Sus scrofa: one gene and its partner. The protein of the gene in region 2 binds, or shares a complex with, the protein of the main gene of each other region. Links are inferred from orthologs where the notes say so. Each region holds a gene or a part of one and is shown on either strand. Other genes may lie near its edges.

Evidence for each region.
Region 1: the proteins of REV1 (region 2) and POLH are in contact, whole or in part, in an NMR structure (PDB 2LSK), measured with the Homo sapiens proteins. The link is inferred for Sus scrofa from reciprocal best matches to the Homo sapiens genes REV1 and POLH. Residues at the interface, in NP_057400.1 of Homo sapiens: Asn1158, Leu1159, Ala1160, Gly1161, Leu1171, Leu1172, Trp1175, Ile1179, Asp1181, Pro1182, Met1183, Glu1185, Asp1186, Gln1189, Val1190; in NP_006493.1 of Homo sapiens: Thr528, Glu529, Pro530, Phe531, Phe532, Lys533, Lys535, Ser536, Leu539.

The regions. Positions count from the first base shown.
Region 1 is NC_010449.5:38,572,017-38,575,833, reverse strand, and holds part of POLH (DNA polymerase eta), read right to left. Parts: intron 2,636-3,817; 5' UTR 2,632-2,635; coding exon 2,495-2,631; intron 2,255-2,494; coding exon 2,120-2,254; exon of another isoform or gene 2,059-2,119; coding exon of another isoform or gene 2,039-2,058; intron 1-2,038. UniProt on the Homo sapiens protein: DNA polymerase specifically involved in the DNA repair by translesion synthesis (TLS). Due to low processivity on both damaged and normal DNA, cooperates with the heterotetrameric (REV3L, REV7, POLD2 and POLD3) POLZ complex for complete bypass of DNA lesions.
Region 2 is NC_010445.4:54,855,521-54,859,337, reverse strand, and holds part of REV1 (DNA repair protein REV1), read right to left. Parts: intron 3,789-3,817; coding exon 3,686-3,788; intron 2,612-3,685; coding exon 2,446-2,611; intron 2,311-2,445; coding exon 2,108-2,310; intron 357-2,107; coding exon 123-356; intron 1-122. UniProt on the Homo sapiens protein: Deoxycytidyl transferase involved in DNA repair. Transfers a dCMP residue from dCTP to the 3'-end of a DNA primer in a template-dependent reaction.

The DNA of each region.
Region 1 (3,817 bases), on a different chromosome or scaffold from region 2:
TTGGGCTGGACAGAGAACAGTCAGACTCAAAGAAAAAAAAAGAGTGGGATCATGCACAAGAACATAGGCACACAATATACTCACACATCTACAGAGCAAGGAAAGGATACTCTACTGTAGTAGTTTGTGTTCCTCCACTGACTCTGAAGTAGTTACTCCAAGGTATTTTTGAAATTATTTCAGGAGTTCCCATCGTGGCGCAGTGGTTAATGAATCTGACTAGGAACAATAAGGTTGTGGGTTCGATCCCTGCCCTTGCTCAGTGGGTTGAGGATCTGGTGTTGCCATGAGCTGTGGTGTAGGATGCAGACATGGATGGAATCCCGCGTTGCTGTGGCTCTGGCGTAGGCTGGTGGCTACAGCTCCGATTGGACCCCTAGGCCTGGGAACCTCCATATGCCACAGGAGTGGCCCTAGAAAAGGCAAAAAGCCAAAAAAAATAAATAAATAAAATAAGATCATTTCATAAACTTAGAGCATATATATGTTTTTGCAAATCATATTTTTATTGTTATAACCTAGTATCTCAGTTTAATTATTAAAATAGTAATTTAAATTATTAGGTCTTAATAACTCTCTGGTCTACTTTACTCCTAAATTTTCTGAAACTGCCTTTGTTCATTATTTAATGAAGATTTTTTTTTTGATGAAGATATTAAGAGTAAAATAAATTTTAAAAAAGGTAAAATAAATGATCTAAATCACATCCTGAAGTCAACTATATTTCTAGGAAGTTTCTCTGTCTTTACCAGCATAAAATTCTATTCAATGAAATGTAGTATAAGGACATTAGCTAAATTAATTCTACTTTAGGATTAGGGTGTTCATCTTTTTTTTTTTTTTTTTTTTTTTTTGTCTTTTTGCCTTTTCTTGGGCCGCTCCTGCGGCATATGGAGGTTCCCAGGCTAGGGGTCGAATCACAGCTATAGCCACTGGCCTACACCAGAGCCACAGCAGCGCAGGATCCGAGCCGCATCTGCGACCTACACCACAGCTCACGGCAATGCCGGATCGTCAATAGGGTGTTCATCTTAAGTCTAATCTCTCTCTGTCTCTCTTTTTTTTGGCCACACCCATGGCATGCAGAAGTTCCTGGGCTAGGGTTTAAACCTGCCACAGGAGTGGCTGGGGCCACAGCAGTGAAATGCACTATGCCACAAGAGAACTTCAAATCTCTTCTTTTCTGGCAATAACTCCAATGTGAGGAGGTTGGCTGTGACACTCCACCTTTAGACTAATTTATAGGTGAACTCAAGAACACCTCAAGTTCCAATTCAAAGCATGATCACACATCACACAGTGTAGTGTACTGCGAGAATGTGGAAATCTGAAAAAAACGGAAACCTTTTACTTTCTAGCTATGAGAACTTAAATTATTTAACCTCTCTAAACTTGTTTCCTCATCTATGTGTGCGCACACGTGTGTGTGTGTGTGTGTGTGTGTGTGTGTGTGTGTGTGTGTGTGTGTAGGGGAGGGAGGAGTGGAGAGTGGGGTAATACTAAAACCTACCTTTTAACAATGTGTTATTTAAGAGACATTGCCAGTGAATGGCATATGACATATGCTCAATATATATGAGCTCTTAGAATGTTACAACGGCTGGGGCTTGTAGCTACCTCTAACCTGGCCATGCCTATACTAATGTCTCTCATTCCAAAGCTAACTTTCTAAAATCTGGGAGAGGTAGCTCAGTTCAAAAACAGAGAAGGTAAGCTTCTTCGAGATTGTTCAGTTCTGGCAAATGATTCCAGATACTGTGCTAGAATGTGAATCTGACTTTAGCCTTCTCTGGAAAAACTCTTAGTTTTCACAGTCAATTCAATTACTCCAAATACTTCAGACTTTTGGCTTTACAACATGGGAACTGATATTAAGTCTTAAATATAACAACCAATTTTTAAATAACTAAGGAACTGAAAGGGCATTAAAGGTAGCAATTATTATAAGTAATAATGACTCTGAATTGTTCTTAAAACACAGCATTAAAATTTTTTCATTTCACACTGACTGAAAAGGAATTTTTTCAGAGTTACTTACACAAAACAAATTAGAAACATTAATTCTAAGCCTCATGAAACTCTTCCCAGTCTTCCATTCCCTGTAATCTTTGTTTCTTACTTGGTGAGGTTAGCTTTTCCACGGGACTCAAGAACTTGTGCCAGGAGAAGATCTGGACATAACTTCTTAGCATCATCTGCCCACATGCTTTTAGTGACCCCAAATGCACGAGCTTCATAACTTACTGAAACTATTCTATGGTTAGGAAAAAAGGGGAACAAAAAAATAATACATGATCACAAGCAAAAATCATTAAAATTTAACAGGATGAATAAGCTATAAACTTCATAATAGAAACTTTTAGGTCACTGATACTACTATTCACTCTCAATCACAGCAGTTGAGAAATCTCAAATGTAGGACCTAGCATAGTGCCATGTATTCTTACAGATAAAAATAGCAGTTGAAAGTTATAACAGTAACTACGGTACATACCCGCCACCCTTCCATGATTTGTACTGCACAACTGCACAAGGTTTATTCTTCAGATGAGGATTTTGCCGCTGCTCCACCTGAACAAAAAAACAGTCCATGTCCAGTAGAGCAACTACCCGGTCTTGTCCATTAGACATTTTTCTGTAAGACAAAATTTTATGGATGGTTAGAAAGGATACCTAAGCCAAAGTACCAAGAAAAATTACATCGTCAGTCTTCCATTGCTGAATTATCTAAACATGGGAGCATGGAAACTAACGAGAATGAAACAGACATTTTCATACATTGCTGGTAGGAGAATAATAAGTTGATACAACTTTAGGAAGGTAATAATATTAAAAGCTTTAAAAATACCCATCCCCCAAAAGAACTGACACCTTACAAAAGAAACGAAGAGTCAACAGACATATGAAAACGGGCTCAGCATCATTAGTCATAGGGAAATGCAAATTAGAACCACAATGCACATCAGTGGAGGGATAAGGCCAACAGTTAATTTAGTTTAAAGACAAATCTCAAATACCAATTCAGGCAAAAGAGAAGCAGAAAATGATATATAATATCATAGCAGCCATGTGAATTTTTAAAACTTTTTATTCTGAAATGCTTTAAAACTTACAGGAAAATTGCAAATATAATAGGGCTCTCCTACACCCACTTCCCCCTAAGGCTAACATTAACACAGCACAATTATTAAAACTAAAAACGAAAACTGGTATAACATTCACACTACTTTACTTGAATTTTACTAGTTATTCCACTAATGCCCATTTTTGGTTCCGGGATTCAATTTAGTCATCATGTCTCCTTAGTCTTCTCCAATCTGTGACACTTCATGTTTTTCATGTTCTTGGCACTTTTTTTTTTTTTGGTCTTTTTTTGTCTTTTCTAGGGCCACACCCACAGTACATGGAGGTTCCCAGGCTACGGGTCTAATCGGAGCTGTAGCTGCCAGTCTACGAAAGGAACTCAGGATCCGAGCAGAGTCTGCAAATACACCATAGCTCATGGCAACACCGGATCCCTGACCCAATGATCGAGGCCAGGGATCGAACCCGCAACTTCATGGTTCGTAGTCGGATTCGTTAACCACTGAGCCATGACAGGAACTCCCCTGCACTTTTGAAGGGAACTACTAAGTTACTTTGAGAATATCTTTTCAATTTAGGTTTGTTTGCTGTTTTCTCTTCATTAGACTGAGGCTATGCATTTTGGGCAAGAATATTATGGACATGTTCTGCTTTTCTCTGAGTACCATGTGGGCAGATACACAATGTCAATTATGTCAATACTAGTGATGCTAAGCTTATCATTTAGTTGTAA
Region 2 (3,817 bases):
AGCTCCCCTGCCCTGCCTTAGCCGTGGTGTGAAGAGAAAAGGAAGTGACAAGTGTCTGAGCCGAGCAGGATGGCTGAGGACATGGAGACCAGAGTGGAAGATGAGCCCTCCACTTAACCCACCTGGGAAAACGCTGGCAGGGCTATTACACTAATTTCTGTATCCCCGTTAGATTCTTCAAGTTCTGGTATTTGTAACAAAACTGTCCCAATTGGTTGCGGCAAAATTCCTGTACTGCAGCCATTGACTGGCTCTCTCTTCTTGTCACCATGTGGCTCTGCTTGCGGAACAGCACACACTTGCTCCACTTGCTCCCGGAGATCAGGTGGAAGAGCTTCCAGAACAGACGGGTCGAGCTGTGAAACAGCAGACAGTGTGACGTTACAGCGTGCACAGAGACGATGTGTCGGGAGTTAATGTGTCACTTCAATGTGAACGTTCTCAACAGAGAATGGAAGGTGCAGGTGGTGGGGCGAGGAGAGCCACTCCCCCAACCAGCATGTTTGGTTGGTTTTGTTTTTTTGTTTTTTTTCTTTTTAGGGCCACACTTACGGCATATGGAGGTTCCCAGGCTAAGGGTCGAATCAGAGCTGTAGCCACCGGCCTGTGCCACAGCCACAGCAACGTGGGATCTGAGCTGGTGCCTGCGACCTACACCACAGCTCACAGTAAGGCTGGATCCTTAACCCACTGAGAGCAAGGCCAGGGATTGGGCCCACAGCCTCATGGATATTTCATTACCACTGAGCCACAATGGGAATTTTTTTTGGGGGGGGGGTTGGTTTTTTTTGCTAAGAACCAGCACATTTTTGGAATGTCTTTGGGTTTTTGTCATTGAAGCCTCGTCAGCCATGCGTGGAATCTGCAGATGGCAGGTGCACGCCACTGCCCAGTACCACAGGGTCAGCTAAGCCAAATGTCCTCACTGAACCTCTGGCCCAAGAGCAGGCAGACAGGCAGAGTCCTGGTGACACTCAGGGGGAGCGGCCAGTGCCCCAGGCACATGCCCAACTGCTGGGAAGGAGTAATGGTCCTGGGTCGGAAGTTTACCTTTTAGACAGGATACTATCTGCCCCCAACTATAAACACATTTAGGCTGAGCATCGAGCTAGTCAAAAGGGATTCTAGAAGCCACACACTAGAATCGTCTGCCCACCTGTGGAAAGATGCAGGTCCCTAAGCCCAGGTGGCCCCTCTGGGGAGCCCCCCAGCCCCAGGGACCCCACACAAGCACATGGCAAGATCCCTTCCCCAGCCTCAGATGCAGCATGCACATCCTCAGCCTCCTACCTCAGCCTTAGGGGAAAAGAAAACTGATTTTCCCGGCAGAGTTTAGAGTGCTATTTTAAGTTTCCAAGGAGCAAAAATGCCAACAGCATTCCACAGCTGGAGCCCACTCAGAGTTCATGGCTTGGGTGAGGAAAAGGATTCACCCCGCAGAGGAAACTGTTGGCAAATGCTGCGAGAAAAACCTCTGGCCTAAGGCCTCTACTAATGCGCACCAAAGCCGTGCTGCTGGACAGTTAGGTCCCCGGGATTACCACTGGGAGACAGATGGTGGCTGCTGATAGCAGCCATTCACAGAACCAGCTCTCACCTGTGTTTTAAAGCCTGCAGGAGCTGCAGGTCTTGGCAAAAGCGTCATCTTGGCCCTAAGCTGATTATTCCCCATCCGGGATCTGGTGACCCCAGGGCTCGCCCCAGCAGGTACCCCTCCTCCCTTTCCTAGCTCTGTACTGATACAGAAATGAAAAACATTCTTCCTGTTGGGAATCCGCTTTGTACTTCAGTCCTATTTACAATGTTTAAAATATACCTGGGGGAGTTCCCGTCGTGGCTCAGTTGTTAACGAATCCATCTAGGAACCATGAGGTTGCAGGTTCGATCTCTGGCCTCACTCAGTTGGTTAAGGATCCGGCACTGCTGCGAGCTGTGATGTAGGTTGCAGACGTGGCTCGGATCCCATGTTGCTGTGGCTCTGGTGTAGGCTGGTGGCTACAGCTCCAATTAGACCCCTAGCCTGGGAACCTCCATATGCCCAAAGTGCAGCCCTAAAAGGACAAAAGACAAAAGACAAAAAAAGAAAAGAAAAGAAAAGAAAATATACCTGGGAAGGCGACGGGACCTCTATACTAAGGTTAAGTCTTGACTTTAAACTGAGGGGAGAGCGCAGGCCGTTCCACTTCCCTGAGGGCTCCGCTCTGCTGGTGGCAGCACTGGCACCTGATGTCGGATGTGCAGAAAGAGATGGTAAAAAAGTGCAAGTGCTGGAGGCGGATGATATTTCCAGATCCAGCGCAGCTAGAAATACTGAAAAGTACAGAAAATAGCGTCGGGTAGTGGGGAGGGAGGGGGCATCTTAGTTCAGAATGTCAGTCTGGTCCTGAAGTCACATGGAGCTGTGCCACACAACGTGGACACTAACAGCCTCCTGACGACACTGACCTTCCTTGTGCTCCTCTTCTGGGGGCTTCTTCGTTTTTTGAACTTGGAGGAGATCGAGGACAGAGTGTGAGCTGCCAGGAAAGTGGCTCGACTGCACTGCTGGGTGACTGGGACCAGCTGAAGGGTTCGGATTAGTCGGAACCAACTGATTCACTAGAATCCCAACCTAGAACCAGAATAACAAATAGGTTTCTACGGAAAAAGGTTAAATGAAAGTATTCAAACGGAATACCTTCAAAAGTGTTTCTATGATTTATTTCAAATACCACCTCTGTACTAGCTAGTGAGCAATTACTCACCTCAATCTAAGGAGTATCCACTTCTACCCAAATATGATTGCTTCACAATCAGAAAATCCAAAAAAGTGGAGTACTATATCCCACTGAAGTTCTCATCAATTATGTTTTTAAAATAAGATTATAAAAATGTTTACATGGGGGACAGTGTACTTGCAACTTCATCTATCATTTGTCTTTTTAAGATGCAGTGCTCTGTGAGTGAAAACCAGCTTTGTGGGGTGGGGTGGGGTGGGGTTGGGGGAGTGGGTCCCTGCAGTACTCTGTGCAGAGGAGCCAAATGTGCTGGGTAGCACAGCCCTGGCATGGAGCCCCACCCCAGCAGGCTTAGGAACTAATTTCCTGCTCCTTCCACAAAACCCACGCCCAGTCCGTGACCGGCCTCTACTCATGTGTGTACCTAAATACAACCACCCACAGGCTCATCTTGAAAAAAATTAAGATTCTCACATTTTTTGATGCCCTCTCACCAATCTGTTGCAAAGGCACCTTAATACACCTGTGGTAAATTCCCCCTGAAGATCATCTATCAGACAGTAGACTAAAAGGCCCTCAGAAGTCAGGAATTACAGGCGGCTTCACGCTGGCGCGCCCCCCCACCCCCCCGCCGACCCACCTACCTCTAGGGGAACAAGGGCAGGAAGCAAGACACTGCAGGCAAAGTAGGCCCTTGGTTGTTTAAAAGGAAGGTACCTAACAACTCAAGATAGGACACTTGTTACTCTAAGCAGAAAGAGGATTCAGAACTCAAGTAACTCTTAAGTACGGGGACCAGCTCAGGTGAGAAAGTCAAGAGGCTTTCAGTTTCTCTTCTCGTATTACATCAGTGGAGCTGAAAAGACTGCATATAAACCCCTCTGCATCTCACACATGAAGGCCTCAGATCATACCACGATCAAGAAAAACACGACACAGGGTCCTATTTTAAAATGGTACCTACTTACCCCTCTCATATCCGATATGTTGAGTTTCATTGCATGAAACATGTTTAGCGTAGCCTTTCCAATTACTTTTGCACTATCTGTTGCCTGGTCAAGAGTTACGGTCCTGTAAGTGACAGAATTAACTTTTTAAAA